Notamacropus eugenii: one gene and its partners. The protein of the gene in region 1 purifies or fractionates together with the protein of each later gene. This does not show direct contact. Links are inferred from orthologs where the notes say so. Each region holds a gene or a part of one and is shown in the gene's direction. Other genes may lie near its edges.

Region 1 (7,528 bases):
TCAGAGTTGCTTGTCTTTACAATATTGTTGTCATTATACAAACTGCTCCTGGTTCTGCTCACTTCACTGCATCATTTCATAGGAGTCTTGCTGGGTTTCTCTGAAACCATTTCTCACAGCTAAGCAATATTCCATTCCATTCATATGCATTATTTGTTCAGCCATCCCTCAACAGATGGGCACCTCTTAGTTTCTAGTTCTTTGCCACTGCAAAAGAGCAGCTAGAAATAGTTTTTCATCTATGATCATAGACTTTAGAGCTAGGGGTCGAGTCCAACTCCCTAATTTTGCAGATAATGAAACAGGGATCCAGAGAAGTTCAATAACTTGTCCAGGGTCACACAGTTAGTGTCCGAGGTGGAACCCATAACCTCCTGAAGACACTATGATGAGCTGTAAGGCAGGATATGAAACTAGATCTTCCTGATTTGGACTATAGAAAAAGGGCTGTGAGGAGATCAGTCCGGACAGAGAAGAAGGGAGCAGGGGTACAAGACTGGACCAGTAGGATGGGGACAGATTTAGTGTATGGGGGGTGGGGACCAGATAGGACTGCTGATGACTGAGTGTCCGAAAGAGGATGATTCTGACCTCAGTGGGCCCTTCTCCACCAAGACCTGACACTTGCCAACAATGTGTATTCCCCCCAAACCCCAGAACTATGCTTCTGACATCACCTGCCTGGTTGCCCTGCATGAGCTGTATAATTACATCAACAAGTATTATGACCAGGTGAGAGGCAGGTGGGCTTCTGGGCAGGGGTTGGAGAAGGGCCTAGAAACTTGGAGGGGAGGGGGAGAACCCTTAAGGTTAGATATCTAGAGCCACTTAAAGTTAGAGAGGAGGTGGAGGGAGTGGGGAGCAGAGTAGTTAGCTTTGCTTGGACCACAGCTTTGCTTTAATCCCTAACATCCTGAAAGACCTTCAGAGGGGAAATCATCTCCCAAGTGCCGGACCCAAACTCCCTGAAAAAAGGGGTCCTGCCACCCAAGCTCAGAGTGGCTTCATCTCTCTCAGAGGTACTCTGGGATGGGGAGAGAAACTTGCTTTTGGAAAGTTTGCTCCAGCTCTGTGGGAAGGCCCCAGAGGGGGAACCTGTCTTTGCCTAGGGAAGACTTTACCCTGGTCTCTAAGGTTCAGAAGAGACAGAATTGTGGGAGGGGGCAAAATAGAAGGGGACAGAGCAGCTGCAAGCCCAGGAGGGAAACATTAGCTGATCAGATCTTTTTGGTTTCTTCCAGATTATCAGTGCCCTGGAGGAGGACCCTGTGGGCCAGAAGATGCAGTTGGCCTACCGGCTTCAACAGATTGCTGCTCTGGTAGAAAACAAAGTTACTGACTTATGAAGCCCTCCCCCGCCCCGAGTCCAGATCTTGGGCCAAGAAGAAGGAAATGGACCAACCTGGAGTGTGGGAGCTGCCCCAGCCAAGGCCTCCAGCTTAAAGTCAACTGCCAAGGCCCCCTCTCTCTTACCAGTAGTGCCTTTTGTCCTGGCTCCCTAGAGACCCAACCGGGTGACTCTATCCTTAGCGAATCTCCTTCCCCTCCCTCCAAAATGGAGATAGAGAGGTCTTAGAGCCTCTCTTTCCAGGACCCTCAAAAGTGGTTTGGGGCAGAGTCAGCCAGGCAGCTGGGTGGGCACTGTTGGTACCCAGAGTAGTGGTCAAAATTTGACCCTATTTTTCCCAAGTATGGAGGAGATAGTGGAAAATGAACCCTGTCTGGGACATTTTTCTATAGTGGAGAAGTGGGAGGGGGGGAGGGGTGGCAAACATTCAAGACTTTCCACTCAAGCCAGTCTGGCCTAGCCTGTGGCTTCCCCTCACCCCTTCACTAGGATTATTAGTGGGGGTATGTGTGGGAGACAGCACCAAGCTTTGCCTCTCTTATTGAGACCTGTTAACTAAGGCATGGCTAGTCTCAGGCAGTCGGGGTTTTCATAATTCACACCAGCTCCAGCCTCTTTTGGGATACTTAAAGGATGGCCTACCCCCACCCCCACTCCCATCCCATATATTTATTTACTTGCTGGAAAATTCCATTTGAAAATAAATGAGATCAAAGACTTGAAAAAAGTTTAAAATCCAGTATTTTGTTGGTAGTTTGTGTTTGTGGAGTGTCTGGAGGACAGGCAGTTGTCAACATATTTCCTGAGGAGGACTCCTCTCTCCCCTTTTGGAATGCCTGCTGTTGGGATCTCAGGGTGTGGGGATAGGGAGACACAGGAATGAGGCAGAAGAAATCCTGATCCTAGTAGCAATAGCTGGGGCTGGGAGCATAATTTTGGGGAGTGGGAGAAGGGAGGGTAGTAGAGTGCAAATTGTGCACACACTGACACACACACAGACACAGAGACACAGACATACAAATACACACACACTGACACAGACACACAAATACACACATATACATATAGAGACATTGACACACACAGAGACAGACACACAGATGCCCAAACACACACACACACAGTCACACACACTGACACACATACACTGACACACACACAGACACACAAACACGCAGACACACAGTGACAGAAACACAGACACACACAGACACATACAGAGACACTAACACACAGAGATACAGACAGAGACACAGACACTCACACTCCTCATCTCTCTTTTGGTTCTCCTCCTCCATCTCTGACCACTCCTTCTCTGTCTCTTTTGCTGGATCCTCCTCCAGATCATGCCCTTGAATCATAGGTTTCCCCGGGGCTCTGTCCTGGGCCCGCTTCTCTTGGGGGTCTCATAGGCTCCCAAGGATTTAATTACTGTCTCTATGCTGATGATTCTCAAATATATCCATTTTGCCCTAGCCCTCGGCTTGTCCTTTAATCTCGCATCTCTAAGTGTCTTTCAGACATCTCAAACTGTATGTCCGGTAGACATCTTTAACACAAATCTAAAACTGAACTATCCATCCCCTCAAGTTCTTTCCGCCTGTGTTCCCCACCCCCACCCCGGCCCTACTGTAAACCCAGAGACAGGGATAAGAAAAGGTTCCGGTCCCGGGGCAAAAAGTGAGAGTGCAGTCGGCGCTTTTTAAAAAACCAATGAGCCACCTTGTGTGGAGCGTTTTTTGGCCGGGGGGGGGGGGGGGGGAAGGGGGGGTGGAGCACAAAAAGAGACTGTCCAGTCCTCCCCTCCAGACCAGTGAGGATAGGGCAAGTAGTAACACCATTTTCCCAGTTCCCTGGCCTCGCAACGTGTTAATCTCGATCACTCCCTAACTCACACCGCCATATCCAAACTCGCCAAGGCTAGTCATTTCTCAAATTCAGCCCCTTGTCATCTTCCATTCAGCCACTAAAGTGATTTTCTTAAAGTGCAGGTCAGATCATGTAACTCCCCTGCTCCATAAGCTCCCGTGGCTCCCTCTTGCCTCCAGGATCAAGTACAAGATGCTCTGTTTGGTGTTCCAACCCCTTCGTGACTCAGCCCCCTCAAGTGAACTCTTCAACCCGGTGATCCCTGGCTGCTCCGCCAACCAGTCCCTCCTTTTCTCGGCTCTGGGTATTTTCTCTGGGTGATCCCCAGTACTCCCCCTCCTCGGCCCTGACCTCTGAGCTCCCCGGCTAAGCCCTCTGAATTCCAGGGCCTTCCCTCTGGTCATTATTTTCTATTGATCTTGTATAGAACTTGTTTGCACGCATTTGTTTGTTGTGTCCCCTCCCCCCGGGGCGCCCCCCCCCCGACTTTACTACCCCCTATTAGATTGTGAGCTCTTTAAAGACCATCTTTTGCCTCAGCGTTCGGCACCGTGCCTAGTACTCAGCAGGTGCTTAATAAATGTTTATTGACTGACTGTCTGCAAAATTCCTGCTGGGTCAGCCCAATATGGAGGAGTGGGGGAGAGGGCTATAAGATTGAATAAATACACTCAACAAACATTTCTAACCGAACGAAAGCCTGGAAGGTGGGTGCAAAGACAACAGAGAAGGGTCGGGATGCTGGAATGATCAATGGGAACGAGTGGAGGGGGCAGCCTCCCCGACAGGTCTAGAGTGAGGAACGGCGGGTGGCCATTCAGTTCGTCTGGAACAAACCGAGTGAGGGTAATGGGGGTCAAAAAGTAGTGAAGTGCACAGAAAAAAAGCGCATTGGCTGGGTTAGTCCCATCCAATCACTTTTTTGCTCGGGGAAATTGAGGCTCAGAGAGAGGGGCGGTGAGAAGATTTCGTCTCCGGGCAAAGAGTGTGGGAGCACCCTCGGCGTGTTTGAAAAATCAACCAATGAGCGCTGTGCGCGGGACGTTGGCAGGGTGGGAGGGGGGACGAGAGTATAAAACGACGGCACTGCAAAAGCCGCTCCAGTGCGTGGATCGCCGAGGTGAGGAGAGGCTGTCGAGCAGGTTCGCGGAGCTCGAGCACAAGCTTCCCGCTTACTGCTCTCTCCTCTCTATCCAGTCGATCCAGCTCCTCGTCTGGGAGCGAGAGAGACCGTGTCCGCGTGCCGTGAGGCTCGCTGGCCGTCGTAGCTGTGAAGATTAGCAAGGGGGGAGGTGGGTCCCAGGTCCGAACGTCTCGGGATCGAGACCGGACGGCCCGGGACAAGGCCGGCCAGTGAGGAGCGAGGACCTGGCAGCGGGCGCCTGGACGACTCGCTATGGTTGCATTCCGGGCGGGCCGCTTCCGAGGGGGCGGCCGGGGCTTCGGCTTACTGGTGCTCTCTAGCCTCCTGTCCCGCTCCGCCCTGATGCGTCTGGTCTTGTCCAAGCCTCGCATGGAACCTAACCCGCCCCACTCAGGCCAGAAGAGAGAGAAGCCACAGACCAAGGAAGGGGCCGAGGCGGACGACGGTGGGGATAGCGACCCGCAGTCACAGCGGGGCCAGCTCAGGAAGCCCGGGCGGCGGCGGCTGCGATGGCTGCGGAAGCAACGGCTGGAGTCCCGGCTGGAGTCCCTGCTTCCGCAGCACCCCCGGCCATTGCCTCCGCCATTGCCTCCAATGCCGCCGCCGCCGCCCCCCCCCGCCGCCGCCGCCTCCTCCCCCCCCCGCCGCCGCCCCCCCCCGCCTCCCCCTCCGCCGCCGCCTCCGGGCCCCCCGCCGCCGCCTTCTCAGGTGGGGAACCTGCACGTGCAGCTCTAGTAAGTGCATGCGACGGCGTTCTGGGGGGACAGACCCCCTCCAAGGAGGGAGACCCAAGCCATCTGCGGGGGCGGGAGGTGATGGTGCAGCAGGTGCAGCTCTGAGCGGATCGGAGGCGCGGGGACGAAGTGGTCCGGGGATGGGGGGTGGGGTGGCGAGTTCCAGGAGGTCTAGCCTAGATGACCAGGCAGGATGGACTTCCAGGGCCCGCAGGGGGATTCTGGGAGTTCAGAGGCATTTCTGCGGGGATGGGGGTAGGGGGTGGAGGGGGCGTGGCAGGTCCCGGGATGGTCACTCTTTCCCCCTAGACTTGGGGGGGTAAGCCCCCCAAGAAGTTGAAACAGACGGAGGAAGTGATAAACCCCTTTCAGTCTGTAGAGGGGGAGACAGGCAGAGTCCAGTTCACCCATAGGTCCCTCCAGGGTGATCATGGGACTGTAGGGTTTAAGAGCTGGAACATGTAGTCCAGTCTGTTCAGGTGGCCGATGTTGTCGGCCTGCGCAACCCTGGGGAAGTCTCCGTTTGAGGAGCATGTGCCTTTAAGAGTTAAAGAAGCAGGACCCTCAGCGAGTTGGTAGAGTGGACTTTTTTGGGTGATAGGGGGAGGGGACCTTTCCACTGACATACCTTTCCCTTCCCTAAAAGCAGCTGAGAATCTATTTATAACCCTTTCCCTGGCCGGCCGAATGAAATCACCCCAGCTATAAATGCCCCTCAATCCACTCTCCCCACAGTAGAGATAAGGTCTCCCTCCTCCCAAAAAAATTCCAAAAGGAGAAATTGACGTCAACCCCATCCCCACCCCCTACCTCCAACGGGCTAGGCCGAGTGACTGAGGGCAGGACACCGGAGCTCTTCGGACCTCGGTGTTGGGGAGTGGGGGATCAGTTAGATAGATTTTCCTGGCAATCCCCCGACTTGGGGTAGAGTAGGTAGGGTGTAGCGTGCTGGGGAGGTCGAAATGAGCTCAAGCAGCAGCAGCAGCGACAGGTAGGGGATGCCTCAAGTCTGTGGGTCCAGATCCAGAGTAGAGCTGGGCAGCCCTGGAGAATGGGGGGGAGAGGGGTGGAGTATGGTGGAGGAGGGAGCCTGGTGGGGATGAACTGGAAATCGGAGGGAGGACTGGGGGAAAGCCAAGAAGACTTGGACAGTAACCTGAGGCCTTCCCTCTCCACCCCTACCAACAAGCTCACATCTTGCATGTGCCCACGAATTCACTGACCCGGAGGTGAGAGCTGGTCGGGTGCTACTCCCCATGGTACTGGAGAGCCTTCTGGGCTCTGATGATGAGGAACAGGAAGACCCCACCGATTACTGCAGGGGTAATGGAGAGCCCACAAAGCCAACTTGGCCTCCCCGCTTTGGATGGGAGGTGGGGGCAGAGGGTCCAGCTCAGGGCAGGCAGCCTGAATAAAGAGAAACAAAGGCAGCTTCAGTCTCTCCCCGCTGAGGAAGGGAAGGGGATGGAGGTGGGAGGACTAAACTGATAACACCAGGCCCCTTTTTGGCCACCTGCCCTATGTTCTTTTATGCTCGGGGGAGGAGAGACAGCAAGGAGAGAGAGAGAGAGGGAGCTCAGCAAGTTTCGGTGGACCGTTGGACTATGGTCTCAATGATCAGGACAAATAGTGAGCCTGTAAGGGATGGGGGTGACTAGGCAGAGGCACCCTGGGCAGACTCTGGGCCTTGGAAAAGTGGTATCCTAACAATGAAGTATTCTTTCCATCTGTTTTCCCTCCCCTTAGGTGGTTACTACCCAGTGAAGATTGGAGACCTGTTCAATGGACGATACCACGTGGTTCGAAAGCTGGGGTGGGGCCATTTCTCTACAGTCTGGCTCTGCTGGGATATTCAGTGAGTGATCCTCCCCCACACCCTCCTCCTGGCCCGTTTGGCCTATCTTCTCTCGACCCCCTCCTATCCTTGGATTCCGAGGCCCAGATACGGACCTTGATGATAACAGGTGATCCGGGTCTGTTTTGTAGGCGGAAACGGTTTGTGGCCCTAAAGGTGGTCAAGAGTGCTCTCCATTATACTGAGACTGCTGTGGATGAGATCAAACTGCTCAAATGTGTAAGTCCTCACTCAGCTTTTTGGGGCCTCCGTGTCTGTGCCCCGCCCCCATCAGTCAAAGACAGTAAGAGGGGGAGGGGGAGGGGGAGGGAGATCTCAGAGGACCAAATTTCCTGATGGTGTAGAGGGAGCTGAGAAGGTTCCCTGGACTCCTCTGCTCCTCACCTCGACCCCGCCCCCCATCATAGTCTTGATGCCTCCAGGTCCGGGACAGCGATCCCAGCGACCCCAAAAGAGAGACTGTCGTGCAGCTCATCGATGACTTCAGAATCTCAGGGATCAATGGTGTCCGTATCCTTGGGGGTTTGGTAATTCTGAGGGTTTGGGCAGTGTCCAGGGGGGTCTGGAGAGGGTGAATA
Region 2 (7,395 bases), on another chromosome or scaffold:
GAGATTAGACTCCTGGGGTCAGAGTGGTCCATGTGTAGCCTGGACAGACAACCAGGAGGATGGGTGGGCAACAGCGTCAATCTGCAGAAGGAACAAGTAAGGGAGTGAAAGTAAAACTAAGGGGAAGACTGAGAGGTCTGATCCCAAAGACCTCCAAAAAAAGGAAAAAGATATATTTGTACAAAAATATGAACAGCAGCTCTTTTAATGGTGGCAAGGAATTAGAAATCAAGGGGCTGCCCATCAACTGAGAATGGCTGAACAATCTGTGATATATGAATGTAATAGAGGCCCCACTGGTCTGGACAGAGCACATGCAAGCACACCCACCCACCCACCTTAATCATCCCCATGGCCATGGGCACAGCCTGTGTGCTAGAGCAGGTATTACCTGGTAGATTGGGTTGTTCTGAGTATCGGTTCTAATAATTGCCATCACTTTCTGCTTCTCCCACATCCAGTAAATTAGGTTGGACTCGGGGGGTCCTGTCTGGGCCACAAGATACTTGGAGTCTGGAGAGAAGGCCATGCTAACGAATTTCTGAACTGTGAAATCAAAGTTGCTGAGGACTTTTCGCTTCCTGCAAGGAACTGAAGACAGCTCATAAATGGTGATGGTGGCTTTGTCCTGCACAGTCTCTGAAATGGCCAGGTAGCGCCGATTGGGACTGATGGCCAGAGCGAGCATGCCCTGACTTTTCTCTGAACCTGCAAATGGAGGTAAATGCAGGTGGATCATGGAGCCACATGTGCAATGTAGTGGACTTTTCTATTAATTTGCTCATTCATCCAGTAATTAGCAATCACAATGGACTAAGCAAGGATATTATGGGCTATGGAGGGAAGCTTCTACAGGTCTGTCTTTCTACTTCGCTGTCTTGGCTCCACCTCCACTAGGCAAGGGTAAAAGGGCAGATGTGATATGTGTCCGCTCTTCACCTATCATTATCCAGGTTCACAGAGGGAGTCTAATTGGATGGAAGGCCTGATCATGGTTATGTTATATCTTGACAATCTTAAAAGGAGAATGGAGAAGGATGGGAAGAGGAATACACTGTGGGAAAGGGAGGAAAGCAGGGGAAAGGGGAAAAAAATCCCCTCACATAATTGGGGTGTATGAGTAGACATCCATACAAAGAGGGAGTGGGAGGGGCAGTTGATATTTGAATCTCAGACACAACTAAGTACAAACCAGCTACAGACAGGATCATTTGGAGAGAATCACAGAAGGAAGGCACTGGCCTTCAGGGGAACTGGGAAAGGTTCCTTGTAAAAGGGGGGGATTTTTAGCTGAAGGAATCTGTATGGTGAATCTTCCATTTTGGCAAACTGCAGGACATAGGACATATGGCTGGACTATGTTGGGGGCCTTGAATGTTGTGGTAAGGACTCTGAGCTGTAATTAGTAAGCAACAGGGTATCTTCAAGGGTTTTAAGCAGAGGGGAGATCTAACAAGTTGTGTGAATAGTGAAAATTAATCTGAGCTGTTATCTCTCTCTCTTGAAATTATTTTGTATTTTCTTTCCCATGTCTATGTGATTTCCCCAAGAAGGATGTGAGCCCCTAAAGGGGAGGGATCTTCAGATTTTTTCTGAATATCCCCATGTTCTGGTATAGTGCCATGAATGTAGGCAGTATTTCATGAAATATGTGCTGAACTGTTTGAATTAGGAAGGGTGGTTTGGAGAGAGAAGGAAGGTCTATCTGGAAGCCCCCTGTGCTGATGCTAGTGGAAAGAAGCACCAAAGCCAGAGGTGGGGCAGCAGCAGGAACAAGGAGAGGTAAGAGTTGGGGGGGCAGGTGGGTGAAGGATGTACAGAGATGATGGGGGGAGGGACAGGCAAAGTCGGGCTGGTCCTGGTCAGGGGGCGGGGGGGAGGCCTGAGGATAGCTGGTGATAAAATTCTGGGCCCTGGTGGAGGTCAAGGCATCAGTATGGGAGTGAGTGGGACAGCCAAGGGAGAACACAGAGAGGGAAGGGGGACAATGACAGACCTTTGGACAACATGAAGGTCAGGGTGAGAAGGTCAGTTTAAGAGCTTTTTTCCAGAAGCCAAGGGTGGACGGTAGTCATTGGCATCCCTGACAGAGGGCATTCCCCCAGGGCTCTATCTGGTCCCTCTTTCTCTTTTAGCCTCTCTGTGGAGAATTTCACCTTTACCTTTCTCCTCATCCGATCCTGTTTCTCCCACTGCCTTTGCGACATTCCCAAACTCAATGTGTCCAAAACAGCCCATCTTCTTTCCCCCCAAACCCTTCGCTTTTCCCAATTTTCCCACTACTGTCCCTCCTTGGAAGTCACCTAGGCTGCAGGCACAATGTCATCACCCATGATACCTCCCTTGTCTACATACGCAGGTAGGTGCCACACTCAGCTGAGTTTGGTCTCTCCACATCCAGTTGGACTATTCCAAGAGCATCAAAGCCAGTCTCCATAGGACATGCCTTTCCCATTCTACACAGATCTGATCACTTCACTCTCCTATTTGATTAAGCCCAGGGGCTCCCTATTACCTCAAGGAGCAAACAAGGCCCTCTGTTTGGTTCTTAATGCCCTTCCCAGGGGGTTCCATTCCACCTTTCCAGGCTTTTTACCCTTTAAGTCCCAACTAAAATCTCTCCTTCTACAGGAAGTCTTCCCTAACTTCTCTTAATTCCAGTATCTTCCCTTTGTTAATTATTTCCTTTTTATTCTGTATAGAGCTTGCTTTTTACATATATGCTTCCATGCTGTCTACCCCCATTAGATCAGGAGCTCCTCGAGGGCAGGGACTGTCTTCTGCCTCTTTCTGTATCCCTAGTGCTTAGTACAGTGCCTGGTATATAACAGGTGTTTAACAAATATTTAATGAACTGACTTGAATTTTACTCCTGTCCATACATTCTAAAGGTCCAGTCATGCTGGCCTTTATCAAGCACACACTGTGACTAATACATAGGGCTGTTACGTGGCACAGTGGACAGAGTATGGGCCTGGGGTCAGAAGGACGTCTTTTCCTGATTCAAATCTAGCCTCAGACACTTCCTAGCTGTGTGACCCTGGACAAGTCACCTAATCCTGTTTGCCTCAGTTTCCTCATCTGTAAAACGATCTGGAGAGGGAAATGGCAAACCACTCCAGCATCTCTGCCAAGAAACCTCCAGATGGGGTCACAACTCAACAACAGCAAAGACTCTCGGTCAACATCTAAGGAATTTTACTCCTCTCCACAGCTCCCAAGGTCCAGCCACAGCCGGCCTTCCTGCTGCCCCTCACACACCAGACAAAGATCTTCATGCCTGGGATGCTCTCCTCCCCTCAACCTAACTTTCCTGCCTTCCTTGGAGACAACAAATTCCACATTGGAAAGGAGGTCTTTCCTAGCCCCTCCGGCGGCGAATGCTTCATGAAAGCGCCGTCACCCAGTTTAGACACATATCGCCTACACTAAGTCACCTGCACGGTATTTCCCTCTTTAGACTAGGAGCGGCGGTTTTCTTGGTATCCCCAGCGCTTGGCACAGGCCTTGGCACACTGGGGTTGTAGGCTTTTCTTTGCGTTTGCTGATCCAATTCCCTTTACTACAATCTTAACGTGTTTAAAACCCCGTGATTTAAGAAAGCGGCGCCCCCGAGAACAGGACAATCCGGGTCGCAGCTTCTACGGGAGCCCCCTGCTGCCCCAACCCCAAGGAGAGGCGCATTCGGGCACCAGCCACGAGCACCGCACCGGCACTGGGGGCTGGCGATGCCAGCCGCAGGGTGAGCGGGGAGGGGGCATTTCTGCACGGCTCCGTCCTTGCAAGGAGAGGCGGGAGGAGAAATGCCGGGCTCCGGGACCCCCCAATGGGAGGGGCCGGGAAACGAGGTGGGCCTAGGATAATCAGAGGCTGCCGTAGGACCTGGGTTCTGGTTCTGCCCCAGACCCTGGCGGGCCATTTAGCGCGCCCGCTGCCGCGGACCAACGCGCGGAATGGGGCTAATGGCGGCCCCCGCGGCCCAGGAACATGGCGTGGGGGCCCTCTCCAAGGGGTACCTGGGATGAACTTCTGCCACTTCTGGTCCACATTGTACTTCACGCAGTGGTTCCCGCACGGAAAGATGATGATCTGCTCGTCGAAGAAGAAGAGGTTGTTGGCGACGCGGCCGCGGAGCCCAAAGATGTGCTGGGCCTGGGCCACCACGGTGCTCATGGCGCCGCGGGGAGGGGAGAGCGGGGCTGCGGAGGGGAGACAGTGACCGTGACCCCTGACCCGTGACCCCGCCGACCTCCCGGCCCCGCCCTACGCCCCTGGCCTCTGCCGCTTCTGTCTCTCTCTCTCTCTCTTTCACACTCTCCTATTTCTTTGGCTTGGCCTCTCTTAGGAAACCTGTGTTTCCACGGCAACGGTAAACAGGAAGAGGCGGATCTTCACGCCGGAAGCGGAAGCGTCTCGCCGGAAGTCAAAGCCGCGAGGCTCAGGCGGCGTCTGGGCTCGCGGAAGAAAGAAAGGGAAAGCAGCGATGGCGGCGCTCGCGTCGGGCTCGGATTCGGAGGCGGACTCGGAGGCGCTCTCGGACGCCGAGGTCAGTGGCCCCCTTCCCTCCTGGGACCCAGCCCCGACCCCTCGTCCCTCCCCGGGCCTGGCCGGCCCTGACTCCGCCTTGTGTCCCTGCAGCTGCAGGAGGCCTTCGCACGGGGCCTGCTTAAACCGGGGCTCAACGTGGAGCTGGAGGCGCCGAAACGCCGGCAGAACGACGTGGTGAGCACGGGGTTTTGGAGTGGGCTCGCGCTCTGGCTCCACGTGCGGCGCCTGGCGCCTCGGAGCATGCGCAATGACGGGATGAGCGTTCGGGGGCGGGGGAGGAGCGAGGAGTCTCCACGCGGGGCTCTGGGTCTGCGGGATGATTTGGGGGCGCGTAGGTGGGGGTGGGGCGCGGAGGGTCCCCTCGAAAGCTCACCGGGAGCTCTCCCCAGGCTGGGCTGGGTCAGTGTCTGGCCGAGTTCCGGAAAGACCTGGCGTGGCTGGAGCGGCTGGACGTGACCGTGGGGCCGGCGCCAGAACTCCCCGCGCCTCAGACGCTCGTGGAGCCTGGAGCCGTGGATCCCGAGGACGACTTCCGTAGGGAGATGACCTTGTAAGTTATGGGGGAGGGGGCAGCCTGGGATGGGGTGGGGAGGGGGCAGCCTGGGATGGGGTGGGGAGGGGGCAGCCTGGGATGGGATGGGGTGGGGAGGGGGCAGCCCGAGGGCACTCCTGCAGCTGCCCGTGTCTGTCTGCCAGTTACCGCCAGGCCCAGGCTGCGGTCCTGGCGGTGCTGCCCCGGCTCCACCAGCACCAGATCCCCACCAAGAGGCCCCAGGATTACTTTGCAGAGATGGCCAAGTCTGACCAGCAGATGCAGAAGGTGGGTGTCTGCCCCAGGCTGGGCAGGGGCTCCTCCCACCTCTAGCGCAGAGTCCCGGAGTTTGCCTTTCATGTGGAGCTGTGTTTGCAGTAAAATTGGTTCTTGGACGTGAATTCAGAGTCAGGGAGGACTGGGTTCCCTTTGCTCCTCAGGGAACTAGTTCACTGAGAGATTAAATTAACTTTTCTGTAGAAAGGAGAGTGTCGAGGTCCTACAGACTGATGGCTCCTATGGGACTGTAGCAGAATCCCAGGTTTGGGAACGACCTCGTAGGCTGCACATTCCCAATGTTGTTAGATCCAGAGAGTTTCCTCTTACGGCATCCCTCCCATCCCCCACAGGGTTGCTCATCCTCTGAGTAAGGATGAGGAGGAACCGCCTTCTCCTGAGTCAGTTCATCTCACTATCAACTCCCCTCATGGATAGGGCACTTTCTACTTTTGTAATATCTCTCCCTATCTCTCCTTGTTCTGCTCCCTGGGCCAGGCAGGTGAAGGCTCATTTTTCTTTCAGGTACTTGGAGATAGCTCTCCTGACCCCCCAAGTTTTTTTAGGTTCAGTTGATTCTTACATGGTGTTTTGAGGCCGCATGTCTGTATCCTTTCTAAAATCTCGCCCCCAAATGTGAGCAGAGTGTTTTAGTTGCCATCTGACCCAGGGTAGAAGACAGAGGGATGGATGGATGCTTCTTAACTCAGAGAGTCATTTTGCAGTTGGAAGGGTTCTCGGAGGCCACCTTGTTGTGCCTTTGCTAGGAAAACATTGTGGTCAGCAGCATAACCAGCAGAGGTCTCACTTTGGCCAGAAAACTTGTAACAAGGTTGTGTTTCCCAGTCACAACTCACTCTCATCTGGAATGCAGTCTGTTATTGTTCAGAAGTTTTTCTTTACTGGTCCTGGCCACTGAGTCTGTTAGTGTGACCACAGATCACCTTGGCTACCTGGTCCCATTGCATTCCCAGTGTCTGGGGGACCATGGGATGAGTTACCGTCTTGCTCCGCCCTCCTATCTTGGACTTTTGTGACTTGACTGTGAGACTTTATTCTCTTTGAAGCCTAGGCTTCTAGTCTGTCAGATCTTTTGGGGGCTTGTCAGCAGTGAGGTGGGATGGTGGCTGCTGGAGCCCTGTCTCCTCGTCACTCCCCCCTTCCCAGCTGTGTGACTCTTGTCTCTTTTAGTTGAGATTAGTAGCAGACCGCTAACTCAGGGTTGTCAGGATCAGAAGAGGTGAAGGGGAAAGGGCTTTGGAATCCTTCAAGTTCTACACAAAGGCTTGCTGTGGAGGGCATGGCTGCTTTCTCTGTCGGGGTTGTCCTGAAGGGGTTGGGGACATTACAGTGTGTGACCAGCAGCAGAGTTCTGGGACAGCCCCATCTCTAGGCAAGTATCCTCAGACCCTGAGTGGTGACTCTTGGGGTCAGGCCATTCAGTGCCTTTCCAAATGCAGCTGTGAAGTCATTTGGACTGTATTATACTATGTGCAGTGTGCATGTACACACTCACATTTCTCTTATTTATCAGAAGGAAATGTTATAAGCTTGGCCTGACCTGTTCTTGGATGAAGCCCCACTGACTTTGTATTCACCACTTGTTATATTTGTGCTGGAAATTCCAAGTCAGGCTCTCTGACTTTATAGCATGCAGGCTTCTGTTTTCCATTGTCCAGCTCTGTGGGGCTTCCCTTCCTCTGAGTCTCACTAAGACCACCTGCCCTGTCACATCTATTTGTTCATTTGAGAGCCTGAGATGTTTTTTCTGGGCCAGGTGATCACAGAAGGTGGTATACCCTAGTGGAGAAGATTGAACCTAGGGAAGAGGCTCTGGGTTTGAATCCTGGCCCTGCTGGGCCCCTGGGGGATCTTGGGTGAGCCCACTACATTCTCCCTGGGCCTCTCCTTTCCTCGCCATTTCATGAGAGGGTTGGACTAGCTGATCTCAAGGGTCACTGACCCAAAATGGCTGATTTTATGATAGGAGCTCCTTGAAGGCAGGGAGGCTTTCTTTGTTGTGGTTCGATCTTGTCAGT
Region 3 (7,739 bases), on another chromosome or scaffold:
CCATGTAATTATCCATATCATTATGAAGCACTTTTAATAAGATGTTGGCATAAAGTAATTCTGTAAGATAGAACTATAACCAGAACAGCACATCTTACACTTCTGGCAAATTGATTCACACTTTCCAATTATGGAGAGGGGAGAGAGGATTTTTTTTCCCCTAATAACCAAAACAAATAAAACAAAAAAAAAAAATCAGATGCTACTGATACTCAACATAAAATAACTAGACTGGTTACTTAACATTTAGTTTGCTTATCTGTAAATTGATAGAGTTGAGTTAGATGATCACTAAGGTCCTTTTTAGATCATACATTCTATAAATCAAAATGCCTTTACCTGAATTTGATATTTTCCCATTGTTGGCTGTTCCTGCATTTCCTGGGGCAACTATCACCTGGCTGACATGCTGAGACTGAGCAAGTTTCCAAGCCAGTGTGTGTTCCCTTCCCCCATTGCCAATTATAAGCACTCGGACTGCCATTAATTTGTCTGCAGAGTAGGGATTTAAAAAAAAAAAAAAGAAAAGAAATTGATAAACAGTGCCAGGAGAATCAAGTTCAGTTAAAATTTTAAAAAACAACTCAAATCCATTCATTTTCTCATTCCTTATTGTTTTCCTTACGTTTTGGGCAATACTTGAGACCTTTTCTTTGGCTTCTGGCTTTTTTTTTTTTAAAGTAGCAGTAGCTTAATTATTCTGCTTTTCTGACCCTTCCTTTTAAATGGTAGCACTCCCTGAGCTTGTATCATTTGGCTCTTTATTTTTCGTTTTCACTCCCTCTCCATTCATCTACTCCATACGATCATCTCTACACAACTTATTCCCCAGTCAGCCCTTCCAGTCTCAATCTTGCTTCCATAATGGTTCAATACTTAAGCCACTACTGTGTGAAAGGTATTGTGTTAGGTTCTGTTAAGAATTTCAGGTCCTGCCCTCAAGGGAAATATAGTAGGGCAAGGAGACATGAGGACAAATATGATCAGAATGAGAAAAACACACAGGAAAGGTCAGAGAATGCTATTTTCTCTGGCTGGAAGTAATCCGGGCAGACCTCGAGAAATAAGTAGTATATGAATTAGGCCTTGAAGGCAAGGATTTCCACAAACTGAGAGGTAGGACTGGAAGCTGACTGGAGGAGGACACTGAATAGGATGGCAAGAATATAGTATTTTATCCTGCAGGCAATGGGGAATGACTGAGATTTTCTGAGCAGTGGAGTGCGACCTGGTTAGACTTGTACACCAGGATAATCACTGCCACAGCATTATGAAGGGTTGGTTTAAAATAACAGGTTAAGAAATTTTTTGGTGTCATATATGGTAACAAGAATTTAAAGGTTAGGATGCAGTAGAGTGGATAGGAAGAAAAGATGCAATCAGGAGGTTATTTTTGGAGACAGTATAGACAGGACTTTGCAACTAATTGGAAAAGAGCAAAATAGGACAGTGGAGTTTTTCGATAACTAAGAGAATTTCAGATAATGAATGGCACAAACAAGGTTAGCTAGGAGGGGCAATTTTGGGGGGGATTTGTGTGAAGGAGGAATGAGCTCAGTTTTAGATATGTTGAGTTTGAGGTGCCGATCAGGTATCCATGTAGATCTGCCTCACATGCATTTGGAAATGTGAGACTGGTCATATTTCTAATCGCCTGCTGGACAGGTTCCCTTAGGCGGCTTCTGGAAACTTGTCACTTTTGATCATCAAGTTCAAAATCAAACTAGCTTTCCTCTCTTCTTCTTTGAAGACAGGGATATTTCATTTTTTTCTTTGTATTCTCAGTGACACATAGCACACACTATTAAAACACTGAATGAAACTGAATAAAATATGACAATCAAGTATCTGAAGGCCTATTATTACATAGAACTGTGCTAAGTACTTTACAAAGGCAGGGACTGCTATTATATACCCATTTTACAGATGAGGAAACTGAGGTCCAGTTTAAATGATTTCCCCTAGGTTGTACAGCTGGCTAGTGTCCAGTTATATCTGAACTCAGGTTTTCCTGACTCCAGGCATAGTGCTCCACCCACTTTGCCACCTATCTCTAGCTGTCTCAGGGGAAGGAGGGAATATAAAATGTTCATAGAAAAATGGAGCATGTATAAAAAAGTCATACAAAATCACTTCAGGATGAGGGGAATCCAACAATTTGGAAAATCAGAAAAGACTTCTAGAAGGCTGTAGTACACAAAGTAGAGGTAAAGAGGGAGGATACACCAGATATGAGGTAGAGCCTGTGCTAAGACATGAGGACAGGAAGGAAAGAGAAGACAGAATACGTGTATGCAGGAAACAACAGAGGCTGATGTGACTGAAGCGTATGAAGAGTAATAATATTTAATTGGGCTGGAAAGATAAACTGGGGTCAGTTTATGAAGGGCTTTGAGGGTCAAACGGAGAAATTTGTATTTTATCTTACAGGCAAAAGATGATTCCTTTCCGGGGACTAAGAATAGTGTTTACATTTTAAAATAAAAGTCTGAATGTATTTAAGAAGTTAAAAACCATCCTTAGCTCAGGGGCTGGCAGGATTTGGCTATCTAGGCCCCAGTAAAGATTCTAGGGCAGAGGAATGACAAGGCAAACCTAGGCTTTAGGAAGATCAATCTGCCAGAGGACAGAGTAGAAATTGGGAATGTTGGATGTAAAGAGACCCATCAGGAGACTACCTGCAACGGTCTAAGCAACTTCTGGTAAGGACCTGAAGTAGTGTAGCTGAGGCAGGAATGAAGAGGTGCTAGGGTAGAGCTGATAGGACTTGGCAACTACCTGGTACCCAGGGCCAGGCAGACAAGAACTCTGGAAGTCAGGGGTCAGGAAGACCTGAGCTCAAATTCAACCTCTGACACTTAGGACCTTGGGCAGAACTTTTCTGGACATCTAAACCTAGGTAACTCTCAGTTCTCTCATCCTTAAAACAAGTATATCTATTTCTTTTCTTAGACAGGATACAGCATTGTTCAGCTTATATGAGGATGACTTGCGGTCCATTGAATAAGTAAACAGTACAAAGCAGAAATAAAAGCTACTTTCAAAATTCCCAATTTTGTAGGAAGAAAAGCACCTACTGAAAACATTTTGGACCACATGGAAAAACCAAACTGAATGAAGGAACTCTTCAATTCTTAAATTTTTGAAAAACTGAAGAAAAAATCATTTGCTTGGATGGAAAAATGTAGCTTATCAGAAACTGGAAACCATGAGCAGGAACTTAATTAAAACCACGTTAAAAAGCAAGTGGTAAGATTAGGAAAACAAGCCTGGAAAACAAGAGCACGTGGCCAAGCCCACGGGTGAAAAAGGCCAATTCTTCCAACGCCAAGTTCATTTCAAGAAAAGCACCGCTCACAGTTAAAGTGTGGGGGAAAGCACAGGGTAAACCCTGAAGGATGAAAAAACTAAGGAAATCCTATTTGAAATACATATCAAGGAAAAAAGGAGACCAGCTACGGGAAAAGCACTCGGACCCGTCTCCTAAAATAATTAAATTTAAGTTAAATAAACGACAGGAATTCTGCCGTAAGCAGGCTGCAGAAAGATGCTCCACCAGTGACAGCGGGAGGACACGCACGTGGCCAGGCCGCGGAAGGAGAAGGCAGCCGTCCCACCCGGGATGAATGACAAAGCCTGGGCTCTCCCTCTCCTCCCGCCGACAAGCCGCGAGCGCTCTGCACACGTGGACGCCCAAAGGCTCCTCGGCCCCGCGTGCGTCCGTCCGTCCGTCCGGGAGGGAAGGACACTCCCGCGTTCCACAAGCCTTCCCACCTTTGGCGCTTATTTACGTTCCTAAATTCGTACCCGGGCACCTCAGCGGCGACACCCCCAGCCACCCAACCACCTCCCCCCAGGCCCGCGGGCCCTGGGCGGCGGCCTGCTCCTCGACCGCCCGGGAGCGTGATGCCCCTCCTGGGCCCCGTGGGTTCGACCCGGACCCGGGGAACCGTGTTCACACATGTCACGTAACGACAGCTTTGTCACGACCCCCCCCTCCCCCCCACTCTGGTACCTCTGAGGCCGCCGGGCACCCGTGAATAGTTTAAGGAGGACTAAGGGCTCTCACGGCGGGGGGCCGGCGGGCTGTTTCGCGAGAGGAGCGCGGAACACCGCCTGCACGCTGGGGCTCGTAGGCTCCCGGAGCAGCCACAGGGACCACGCAGCCCGGGGCTCAGAAACCGAGGCGGATTCAGACGGGAGGGGCGGGGGAGGGGCCGGGGGCGGAGGGAAGCAAAGGCTGTATTTTCCAGGGTCACAGGACTCTGCACAAGCATTGGGAGGAAGGCGACGAAGAGGCGGGTCCTCCCCGAGACGGCAATAAAGCCGGACCTGGCGCCCCCCTCAGGCGTGCGCGGGCTCCGCGGGAACACTGACTAGTTCTCACCTCGCCGCCAGTCTCCCATCTGGATAGTTATGCCCTTAAATCAACCCAAATCACAAAAGTACAAGCCCACCTCCCACCCCGAACGCGAACGACTAAGCCCCTCACGTTGGCGGGATTCACCCGCAGACACTGGCCCTGTAATGGCGCCTGCGTCAGGCACTAACATGGCCGCCGCAGCCCCGAGCTTGGAGCTTACGTCAACGGCTCCGCCCTCGTCTCGCAAGAACGGACCGAGAAAACGAATGCGTGTTCGCTGATTGGTTCAGTGGCAGAGCGTGCCTTCCCCGGAGCGCCAGCGGGAGCCAATGAGGGAAGAGAGATAAGGAACCGGCCGTAGCGCCTACTCCCGACGCATGCTGGGAGCCTGGAGGTCTTGGGAGGAGGAGTTGAGAGAACGGAGCGGCCGCCATGGCGACAAACATCGAGCAGATCTTCAGGTCCTTCGTGGTCAGTAAATTCCGGGAAATTCAGCAAGAGCTTTCCAGGTAACGTGTTCCCAGGCGCATCTGCCTTTAGCAGACCGCTGGTACCGATACAGTGTTCCACCGCGGTATCCCCGAAGCCGCCATCGTCCTTTGGCCTAGGCCCTGCAGGAGCCTCGCCCGGGCCTGGGATCTATTTCCTGGCCCCCGCCCCCTCCCCCACCGCCTACCTTCCTTCCTCTCTCCCCTCGCGCGCGAGGGCTTTCGTCTCTCGCTCCGTGGCGCTCTCCTCCCCCCGCCCCCCCCAACCCCCAGCCTACGGGCTGCTTTCGTAGACTTCCCTTTCTCTTCCGAGTAACCAACCTCCCTTCCGTCTTCCAGGCCCCGTTGTCCACCTTGGGGTGGGCCTAGGTTCCTCCTCCGATCCTCCTCTTCTTCCTCCTCCTCCTCCTCGTTTCCCCTCCCCCGCCCCCTCCCCCCTCACCGCCTTCATCTCCGGAGATTTCACCATTCTGTCCCCAGCCTCGGAAAGGGTGTATAACGGCGTTTTTATAGTATAATCCTAAAATTTCGTTCTTGCTAATTTTAGATTATTCTAGTTTGTGGATTATCGAGGCTTTTGGTTTTCTCTTTGCTCTTTCCACCTGTTTTTAAAAGAGTTGGAAGCAGTTAAAATTTGTTCAGTTTGTTGTTGGTTTGAAGGGGGAGATGGTTGAAATTGTGAGCGCGCGCGCGCGCGTGTGTGTGTGCCTGTGTCTGTGTTTGGAGGTTGGGAGTACAGGGGGAATCTTTTGAATTTCAGTTTTTTTCCTTTCCTGGCTTCAAATAACAAGGAAAGTTGACTTGATTAACGAACCGCTATTGTTCTTTATGCTCCCATTTTCCCCACCAAAAATGTGGGGAAAGGAAATCTGCAAAAAAAAAAAATAAAAATCTGTTTAGAGAGAAAGGAAAATAGCGAGGAGGTACTGGTTTTGCTTGGTTTTCCGTTAGTGTTTGTGCCTTGTCCACCTTATTTGGTCCTTTTTAGTAAGAAGATAGGAACAAGAATCCCTGAAGCTTAAAATATGGGTTACACTTTCTCTTATACTTTCTCCCCGTGGCTATTCACTGTCTTTAAACTCCAGCATCTTGATCCTGTCTGTTTGTTGGTCACAATGTAGTGTGAACTGAATCTCCAAGAGTAAGTTAAATAGCCAAATTAAGTTCTTAATTCTCATTTACTGAACGGTAGGCTGGATTGTGTTGGGGGGCTGGAAAGGGGTGGTGATGCCAAGGTATTGGTCATATGAGTGAACAGAATTTTCAGATGAGGTTTATTCCTGGGACTTTTATTGCATAAGTTTTTAATTTGTGTAGTGTAGTTCTATTTCGTTTGATTACAGTCCATTTTGTCGATTATGCATAGCAAATTTCTGGACCACTCAACATTTTCAGCGTTAAAGATGTGCTTAGAGGAAATCTAAGCCAATTTTAATATCAGTCCAAGCAAAGCATAAATATGAACATTAGTTATCCTCTTTCATACCTCTTGCTCTCTTACAATGTTTTTTGTCTCTCCTTGTCTTAATGTAATTCTGAACCAAATATGAATAGATTTTGGATTGTGTGCTACTAACTTCATTGTTTAATTGGCCAAAATTAGTTGTATTAGTAGTTTCATTGTGCTTCCTTGGTTATATTTCCCATTGTAATTGAATTTTTTTTGAGATTTACTTTTTTTGGGCATATGGTAATTTGATCTGACAGATCAGACCTACTTAATTTGTTTGAAAGGAACACAATCAGAATTGTAGTAAATATTTAAAATGCTTTAAAATGTGAATTGGAAGAACTTAAACATAGGTTCATTCTTTAGTCTTTTACAGACAAATGAACACAACCATAACTAGCTTAATGAGTTGTTCAGATTTAAACAGGTGAAGATTGCAGATAATATTTTAATTGTATTCTGAAAGTGAGAACTCCAGTGCTTTTTTTATGTGTACAGTGGTATTGGTTAAAGCATAATGAATTCTCATTAGTTAATTGGTTTATTTTAAATATCCTGAGCCGTTTTTGTATATAAGAGATTTCCCTAAACGTTTTTCTATACATTTATGGAAGTTTTATGTAATTTAAAGACAGCATGTGATTTATTTTTACCTTGTATGTATTTGAGTGTCTTTCTTATGCTGATGGTCAGTAATGGTAAGCAGATTGGCTAAAAATACTATTTTTTTCTTCATTATGCCCATATTCTCCTAGTGTATATTAGGCCATGCATGTGTTGTTTTTTTTTTTTGTATTTTCATGAGTTTTTTTTCTTTTTGCCAAGTATAAGTAACCAAAAGCCTCAACTTAGATTTCTGAGCGTATTGAAACAGATGAGCTTAGAAAACTTTTATTTTGGAAGTTTTTACTTGATTTGCAGAGTTGTAAAATGGTGGTAATGTGATACTATAAAATTAGAATATAAATTAGTTGGAAGTAGATTAGAAGTTAATAAAATTTGAGAAAGAGTTATTATGGTTTAAGAATATGTTTACAAAAACTATAAGAGATGGCAGTGTATCTTACATATTCAGACGTGATAATAAAGTCACTAAAATTAAGCAAATTGTTCATATGCTGTTATTTTGTGCTGATTTATTGTATATTGATATCCATGATGTTAATGAATTTTGCTGTTTTATTTTTAAATCAGTGGCAGGGTTGAAGGCCAGCTGAATGGTGAAACAAACCCACCTGTTGAAGGAAACCAGTCAGGTGATGCAGCTGCCTGTGCAAGGAGCCTACCAAATGAAGAAATAGTGCAGAAGATAGAAGAAGTGCTGTCTGGGGTCCTAGACACAGAATTACGATATAAACCAGGTAAAGTAAAAGGGATTATTTGTGTTGAGGATTATCCTTCCCTAGAAATCTCAAGGGAAGCTTCAAAGGTCTTTAGA
Region 4 (7,991 bases), on another chromosome or scaffold:
TTCATATCCTTTGACCATTTATCAATTGGGGAATGACTTGTATGATTATACATTTGAGTCAGTTCTCTATATATTCTAGAAATGAGGCCTTTATCCCCGAGCTTAGCTGTAAAAATTCTTTCCCAATTTACTACATCCCTCCGGATTTTGGTTGCATTGGGTTTGGTTGTGCAAAAACTTCTCAGTTTAATGTAATCAAAGTTATCCATTTTGCATTTCATAATGCTTTCTATCTCTTCTTTAGTAAAAAATTCTTCCCTTCTCCATAAATCTGATAAATACACTATTCCTTGCTTCTCCAGTTTATTCATGGTATCAATCTTAATGAAGGAGAATTTAAAGAGAATAACAAATTCAGTAAGAGACCCTTTTCTCACCTGTGTCTCTTAGAATCCAAGCTTCCCTCAAAGTTCAGTGGAAGGATCACCTTCTAACACAACACTTCCTGGATCCCTCCCCTCCAGCTGCTCAAGCCTTCCCTCCACCAGAGAAATTACTTTATTTCCATTTGTTACCTGTTTAAATTGATGGATTTTCCTACTATTCACTATTTATGCTGCTTTCTGGTGTAATTAGTATTTGTTGACAAAGAGTGAAGTCTGTGGGTGTAAGCTTGAGAAGATGTCACCCATTAAGAGATAAGAGACAGGGAATGTCTTGAATTGTCAGTTTCCTTCTCTGAAAAAGAGGAATAATAAACTATGATGGGGAGGGTCTGAGGCCTCTTCTCTAACAGCACTGTCTCTCTCCCCAGAACAGCAACCAGTAATACGGAGTTATGTTTCGCATGACTTCACTTGTATAATTGATATTATATTACTTGCCTTCTCAAGGAGTGAGAGAGGGGCAAGAAGAAATTTGGAACTAAATTTTTTTAAATGAATGTTTAAATTCTTAAAAAATTTAATTGGAAAATATCTAATGAAATAAAAATATTTATTTATATACTTATATGTATTTTTAAATATATCTAATTATTTTAATATTTAAATATATTTATATATAATGAAAAATAATTAATTAAATATATTTAAAATTATATTTATATATAAATATTTATATTATAAAAATAAAAATAATTTTTTTTTTAAATAAAAGAATGATTCAATTTGGCCAAGTAGTGCCTCATGCATGAACTCTGCCTCTGGATACACCATCAATCAAAACTATCTCTTCCTCATGTGGTTAGCAGACCAGAACCAGTTTCAGAATGTCTATGCAGGATTCAAATCAGGGAACAGGGCCCTTCCATTCTACAACCTTCCCAGAAATTTCCATGTTGGGAATTGCACACACGTGAGCACACTGTGCCTGCTCACCAGCCTTCCATTTCACATGCATCTCATTTCAGGTTCTTTGTAGAATATTAAACGAAGCTGACCTAAAAGGAAAGCACTAGACTGAAACAGCTCTAGTGAAAGGACCTGGATTCTAATCTCAGCCCTGCTATTGACTAAGCCTTCCCCAACCCATCCTCCTAACCCAAACAACTGCCAGCCTGATATTCCTAAAGCATGGCTCTGCCCAAATCTCTCCCCTAGCTCTAGAAGCCCCAGTGGCTTCCTGGTACCCCTAGGACCAGTTACAGACTCTTCACTTCAGCATTTACAATCCTTCACTATCTGACTCCAACCTATCTTTCCAAAGATATTCCACATTTCTTCCCTTTCACAGATCCTACATTCTAGCCAAACTGTCATACTCTTAACCATAAGGAAAACAAAGGTTTTAAGTCCTGCAAGGGACTCTAAGATAAAGGGACTGGAGCTCAGTATGCCCTTTGACGTTACTAGGCAAATACCCCTAAAAGGTCAAAGAGAGAATAAATAGGACAGGGGCATAGAAATATTCCTAAGGAGCACTTTTTGGAATTTCCAGATGGGGAACTGTGGCTTCTCTACATCAGCTAGAATGTATCGGTACATTATTGTACTCTAAGAAATGAAGAAAGGGTTGGATTCAGAGAAACCTGGAAAGATTTGAATGAACTGATGCAGAGTGATGTCAGCAGAACCAGGAGAACAGTTTATACAGTGAGTACAACATTGTAAAGAAAACTAACTGACAAACTTAAGAATTCAATGCCATGATCAGAGAAAGGGTGGGTAGTAATAATGATGCTGGAAAAAAGGCAAAAGAAAAGAAAGTCACTGGAGGATTATTTTTAAAAGTACAGGAGAAAAGGAGGCAGTGCTGAAAGAGATCTGTCTCTTTCAAAACAAAAGGGATGAATTTATTATATACTTTCAAATATATATTCATATACATGCATATATGTACATACATAAATACTGCTGCTTATGCTAATTTTGGTCTAACAACACCATAAAAACATGGGTTCTTCACTAGCCGGCACTATACATGGAACCATCAGTTACAGCATATGGAGAAATACTGAATGCTGTGGATAAGTTCACTTACCTTGGCAGTATACTTTCCAGGGATGTTCATATGGACATGAAGCTGATGCTCGCATTGCCAGAGCTAGCTCAGTGTTTGGGAGGCTGCCTACCAAATTGTAAGTCTACAGTCACTGTGCTGACCTCATTGTTGTAAGCCTGTGAAACATGGACAGTCCACCAGCACCATGCTAGGAAACAGAATCGCTTCCACTGGAATTGTCTTAGAAAGATTCTGTAGTTCTCCTGGCAAGATAACACTAACCCTAACCCTAACCCTAACGCTAACCCTAACCCTAACCCTAACCCTAACACTGAGGTCCTTTCTTGAGCTAAACTGCCAGGCACTCAAACTCAACTGCAGAGACCACAGCTCCCAATGGGCTGACCATGTTGTTCAAATGCCAAAAGTATCTAAAAAACTGTTATGCGGACAATTCATATAGGGCAAGTGTTCACATAGAGGTCAGAAGAAGCAGCACAAGGTTCACTCCCAAGGTCTCTGTGAAGAACTTTGGAATAAATTTCAAGACATGAAAGATGATGACCCAGAACCATCCAGCCTGTGGCCATCAAAGAAGGCACTGTGTTCTATGAGTGAAGCAGAATGGAAGTAGCTCAAAGGAAATGTGAGATGTACAAAATTAGAGATACCTCCACACTACGTGTTCCTGACCTGTGGTAGGGCCTTCCAAGCTTATAGTGATCTGATCAGTCACGGCTGGACAACCGGCACCTTGACTCCAACACAGTGACAGACATTCTTTCAGTTCTCTTTGAGGAGGAAGGATGCCTACCAACCAAACAAACAATCAATCCACAAACTATACATAACTGCAGTGCACAATGATTTCTTCCTGTTTTTCTGTGTTTACAGAAACATCCGGGTTTGTTTTGTTTATCAAGTTCAGAATAACAAAAAGCTAAAAATTATTTTTTTAAAAATAAAAGTCATCACTGAAAGTGAAATTCCAGACCAAAAAAAGGGTAGAAGACATAAAAGTAAGCGCAGGTCTCCTGACTTCCAGACTCACTCCTCTTCTAGTCATACCACAGGGGCCTTTGAAAATATTTCTATTTGTAGTCATTGCTTGAAAATTGCAAGGACCCAATGTGGCTTGAAGAGAAAGCAGAACACACCTACTTCCCCTTCTTTTGCAGTGGTGAGTGGCCACAGGATCCTCATGCAGATATTGCAGATACTCAGGCCTTTTTGGGGGAGCTGGTTTTGCTGGCCTTTAAAACTCATTCCTGTATAATCTTTATTATAAGGTGATAATATTTAATACAAATTTTGGACTTGAATAAGGGCCAAAAGTAATCTTTATTATAAGATGATAATATTTGATATGTTTTGGACTTTAATAAGGGCCAAACTTTGAATTAAGAAGAGCCTGGACCAGAGAATGCCTTTTGGTGTTAAGCAAGCAAATGGGACTTCCTTACTAGACTCTTCCCCTGGCATCTTAGTGATAAGGAAAAACACAGATGTCCCGGGTTGCAATTTCAACTTAGTCAACTCTGTTCTTGCATCCACAACTTCAAGGGCCTATTTAGGACAGGACGTCTGTCACCAGAGTAATGGGAGTTTCTTCTTATCTTACGTCACAGAGACATATGCTACAGATCACACAGCTTGGGATCATAAAACTCAATTGACACTACTTTGTTAATTGTCTCGTCTTCCTAAATTTATGAGTTCCTTTCTCACGGCAAAATGTATAAAAACCAGAAGATTTCTGTACCGGACAGCCAGATTTGATCCTGGCTCCCTAGAGTTATGTAACCGATATCTTTACGGGGATTTGTTTAATTAATTAAATCATAAAATGTATGCATTTAGCCTGTTGCCTTTCCTTTAACCAAGTATTCAGGTCAACCAAGGGATGGTTCTCCTGGAGCTGGAAGGATGTAAATAAGAAAGGGAGGTGAAGTATAAAGCCGGGAGTGGTCTGGCTGGGGCTGAGTTGGGGGGAGGGGTATTTTCTCTGCTCCTCCAGCCCCCTTCTCCCTTTCTCTATAATTTGTTGGTCCTCCACTATACTCCATCTCCCACCTCCGGGTCTTTGCACTGGCCCCTGCCGTGCCTGCCATGCATTCCCTCTCCACTTCCACCTGCATGCTCTTTCTGATTCTCCCTCACCCCAGCCCCAAGGCTCCTCTGTACAAATGATTTATATTTAGCTGGGCCTCCTTTCCCACTTCCTGATCGATGTGGGCCCCTGGAAGGCAGGGCCGCTTTAAGACGTGCGAGGCCTAGCCAGGATAAAGGCTTTATCTAGCACACAGCAGGCACTCAAACAATGCGTGTTGGCTGACTGGCAGTGTGACAGCTGGCGCGTCCCTGCCCCTCTCTGAAAAGGAGGCCTTGGGACTCCGCCCCCTCGGGAGCTGACACCGCCCCGCACCATCCGGGTCTAGGAGAGTCGGCTCAGGACTATCCACGCAAGCGCAAATGAGCGCTCAGGCAGTGGCGGCAAGGCGCATGCTCCTGGAAAGTGCGCTCTCTGGGGTTCTGCCCCTCACCAATATGGCCGACTGGATAACACGCCTCCCGGCCCTTGATTGGCGGGTCGCTTTTGTGACGTCATCAGGAGCGCCGAGTGCCGGAAAACCCGGGAGCTCCACGTGGATAGTGTTTGGGGGCCTGCTGAGCTCTGGGCGAGGGGATGGAGACGCCTCGAAGGAGAAGCCGGCGCCTGGAGGGGCTGGAGGCCGAGAGCCCCGCGGCCCCCGCCACCCCGTCCCGGGGGCCCCGCAAGGCCCGGCGCGGCCTCCTGGGGCCCAAGGCCGAAGCTGCCTTAGAGCCGGTGCCGGAAGCGGGAGCGGCCGAAGAGGGCCCGGAGTCCCCGCGGAGGCACGAGGGGCCAGGCCTGGAATCCCCTAGGAGACAGGGCCCAGGGCCCCCCCACGGGTCCCCTAAGGACTTGGGGTCCCCCCGGAGAAAGGATCCAGAGTCTAGTCCGGGGTCCCCCAAGAGGCCTCAGAATCAGCAGGCCGAGGGCGCTGGAGGTAAAAGGCAGCTGGACCTGGGACCCTCGCAAAGCCCCGGGAAGCCCCTTGTGGGGTCCCCTAAGTGTCACGGAGCTCAGGGCCCTGAGTGCCCCGGGGATCAGGTGGCTGCAGAGGAACCGGACTCCAGAGGCCTCCCAGAATCCAGTTCGGCAGCCCCCCAAAGTCGGAGACACGAGCGATCGGGGTCCCACGGAGGACAGCCCGAGCCTGACAGGGAGTGCCCCTTGGGGCAGCCCGAGCCAGTGACCCCCAAGTCGGGGGTGCTGCCCCAGGACGGAGCTGCGGAGACGCAGCCAGTGACCCAGGCACCCCAAACTAAGAAGCGGGGTGGCTCCCCTGCCCCCACCTCAGCGCCCAAGAAGCCCAAGCAGAAGGAGGTCATGGCAGTCCCCAAAGGGAAGCCCAAGTCTGGCCGAGTATGGAAGGATCGCAACAAGAAAAGGTGAGGGGAAGGGGGAAGGGCTTTCTTGGGCCAAAGCCTATGAGAGGGAAAGCTGGAGCTGCCCTTCGGGGGGGTGAGGCAGAAGCGAGGGGGTCCGACGGAAGGGGAAGCTGGGGCTCCCCTGCCTAGGCAGCCACTGCCCCGCACCCCCAGCCAGCCCCCAGGCTCCCCAGGGCACAAGACCAGCCCTTGGGAAGCAACCCCACAGGAGTGTAATGATGCAGTGGGGGTGCCAGAGGGCTGGAGGAGGGATTGTAAACCACCCTGAGCCTCAGGGGCTCAGTTGGGCCATGTGATCTTTAATTCCCCTCGCAGTCCTCTTGTGGGAGCAGAGGGTACGAGGCTGAGAAAGAAACCAAGGCCTGGTGAGGTCAGAGAAGCGTGTCTGATCTTTCCTCTGGACTGGGATGTCCTTACATGTTGAGGGGGCTAAAGGTTGGGTTGTATTTGGCCACTGACAAAGGGAGATGGGAAGGGACCTTTGTAGAGCACCTGCTGTGCCCAAGGGACCAAGTGCAACCAGTCACTTTACAGATGAGGAAACTGAGGCAGGTGGAGGCTAATTGCCACAAGTCACACAGCTAGAGTCCCAGGCCAGCTCTGATCTCAAGTCCAGAACTCTGGCCACTGACCACCCACTGCCCTGTTTTGCTTTGTCTCTGTCCCCAGCCCCCAGCCCAGAGTCTTTCAAATCTGTCTTGGTCCAGACCTGGGATTTCATTCATCCCCATGTAGAGACTATCCACCGATGTAGGTCTGCATCTTCTGGAATATCTCGCCTTCAAGACACTGGGCACTGAGAGGCTTGGGCTCTTCCTGGCCAGTCACACACAGCCAGGGTGGGTCAGCATAGAACTCAAACCCAGGTCTCCCTAATTCTGTGACCCACTTGCCACCCACAGGCCACACTGCCTCTCACTCCATACACTATGCACTTCAAGTGTCCAGTGAATTGGAGGATTTAGAGCTGAGAGGGATGTTGAAGACTAAGAGGGCTGTCTTCCTCATTTTACAGGTGAGGAAACTGAAGCTCAGGATGGGGAATGCACTTCCCAAGGTCACACAGGTCCTAAGTGGCAGGGCTGGGACACCCACATTTAGGGGCCAAGGCCAAGGGTCCTGGACATGGGCAAACAACACCCTCCTCCTCTGCCCCAATTCTTTGTCCTGTGAGAGAACTTGAGTGGAAGATAGAGTTTGTCTTAGTGCAAGGGAAAGCCTCTGAGTGAAGGGGACGTCTCCTGAGGTAGTGAGCTCCCCATCCCACCCCATCCCAACCTGGTAGAGTCAGGTAGGAGGTGCCCTGACTGAGAGGCAGCTAGGGGTGCATGGGATGGAGCCCTACTGGGAGTCAGGAAGACCTGGCCTTGAACTCAGCCTCAGGCCCTCTTACTAGCTGTGTGTCCCCAGGCAAGTCCCTTAATCTCCTTTGCTTCACCTTCCTCAACTATAGAAAGGGGATCACAACAGTTCCCACCTATAATGAGGATCAGATGAAAGAGTCTATGTAAATAAGCATATGATAGGTGCTCTATAAATGCATGTTTCCTTTTGGCTGCTTCATAGGTGTTTGGCATAGACCCCATATAGCCATGTTGGCTCCCTGCCCCTCCCCTACCCCAGTGTCAGGTCCTTGAGGTCAGGGACCTCTGTCTTGGCATCCCCAGCACCCAGCTGTGAATGCTGGGTTTTGTCCTGGTGTTTGGGGTCCTATCACAGACCTCTTACTGGGGAGTTCCCCTCCTGCCTCCAGGTTTTCCCAGATGGTCCAGGATAAGCCTCTTCGCACATCTTGGGAGCGCAAAATGAAGGAGCGACAGGAGAGGAAGCTGGCCAAGGACTTTGCCCGACACCTGGAGGAGGAGAAGCAGAGACGCAAAGAGGTGAGGCCTGGGGGTGGGACGGGGCAGCTGCTGTCTCAGCTAATGGAGGCCTGCTCCCTAACTGAACTCAGCAGGTATTTGTCAGGCCCATGCTGGGTGCAGGGAGACCTGCCTGGGCAGGAGATGTGGGCGCAGCCCTCTGTTGCCCAGGGAGGGTGAGTACATGGCTGGATTCTGGATGGGTGGCGGTCAAGGTCAGCTTCCTGGAGGAGATGGTAGAGTGTTTCAGGCCTAGAAACAATGGACAAAAGC

The links.
Region 2: the proteins of SRPK3 (region 1) and EBNA1BP2 purify together in Homo sapiens (affinity purification with mass spectrometry; 3 studies listed by BioGRID and IntAct, with this or other methods). This does not show direct contact. The link is inferred for Notamacropus eugenii from reciprocal best matches to the Homo sapiens genes SRPK3 and EBNA1BP2.
Region 3: the proteins of SRPK3 (region 1) and SON purify together in Homo sapiens (affinity purification with mass spectrometry; 3 studies listed by BioGRID and IntAct, with this or other methods). This does not show direct contact. The link is inferred for Notamacropus eugenii from reciprocal best matches to the Homo sapiens genes SRPK3 and SON.
Region 4: the proteins of SRPK3 (region 1) and CCDC86 purify together in Homo sapiens (affinity purification with mass spectrometry; 3 studies listed by BioGRID and IntAct, with this or other methods). This does not show direct contact. The link is inferred for Notamacropus eugenii from reciprocal best matches to the Homo sapiens genes SRPK3 and CCDC86.

Annotation. Positions count from the first base shown.
Region 1 is NC_092879.1:22,619,421-22,626,948, forward strand, and holds the start of SRPK3 (SRSF protein kinase 3), read left to right. Parts: upstream 1-4,514; 5' UTR 4,515-4,613; coding exon 4,614-5,095; intron 5,096-5,764; exon of another isoform or gene 5,765-6,057; coding exon of another isoform or gene 6,058-6,086; intron 6,087-6,284; coding exon 6,285-6,418; intron 6,419-6,841; coding exon 6,842-6,950; intron 6,951-7,081; coding exon 7,082-7,169; intron 7,170-7,372; coding exon 7,373-7,460; intron 7,461-7,528. Other genes in the region: PLXNB3 (plexin-B3), read left to right, coding at 658-732, 1,242-1,346. UniProt on the Homo sapiens protein: Serine/arginine-rich protein-specific kinase which specifically phosphorylates its substrates at serine residues located in regions rich in arginine/serine dipeptides, known as RS domains.
Region 2 is NC_092873.1:504,696,340-504,703,734, reverse strand, and holds the start of EBNA1BP2 (probable rRNA-processing protein EBP2), read left to right. Parts: upstream 1-4,384; 5' UTR 4,385-4,483; coding exon 4,484-4,546; intron 4,547-4,638; coding exon 4,639-4,722; intron 4,723-4,937; coding exon 4,938-5,098; intron 5,099-5,244; coding exon 5,245-5,368; intron 5,369-7,395. Other genes in the region: CFAP57 (cilia- and flagella-associated protein 57), read right to left, coding at 392-708, 4,017-4,173. UniProt on the Homo sapiens protein: Required for the processing of the 27S pre-rRNA.
Region 3 is NC_092876.1:425,726,998-425,734,736, reverse strand, and holds the start of SON (protein SON), read left to right. Parts: upstream 1-4,735; 5' UTR 4,736-4,795; coding exon 4,796-4,872; intron 4,873-5,172; exon of another isoform or gene 5,173-5,194; intron 5,195-7,495; coding exon 7,496-7,662; intron 7,663-7,739. Other genes in the region: GART (trifunctional purine biosynthetic protein adenosine-3), read right to left, coding at 340-492, 4,388-4,406. UniProt on the Homo sapiens protein: RNA-binding protein that acts as a mRNA splicing cofactor by promoting efficient splicing of transcripts that possess weak splice sites.
Region 4 is NC_092873.1:12,473,614-12,481,604, forward strand, and holds the start of CCDC86 (coiled-coil domain-containing protein 86), read left to right. Parts: upstream 1-4,980; 5' UTR 4,981-5,068; coding exon 5,069-5,856; intron 5,857-7,609; coding exon 7,610-7,739; intron 7,740-7,991.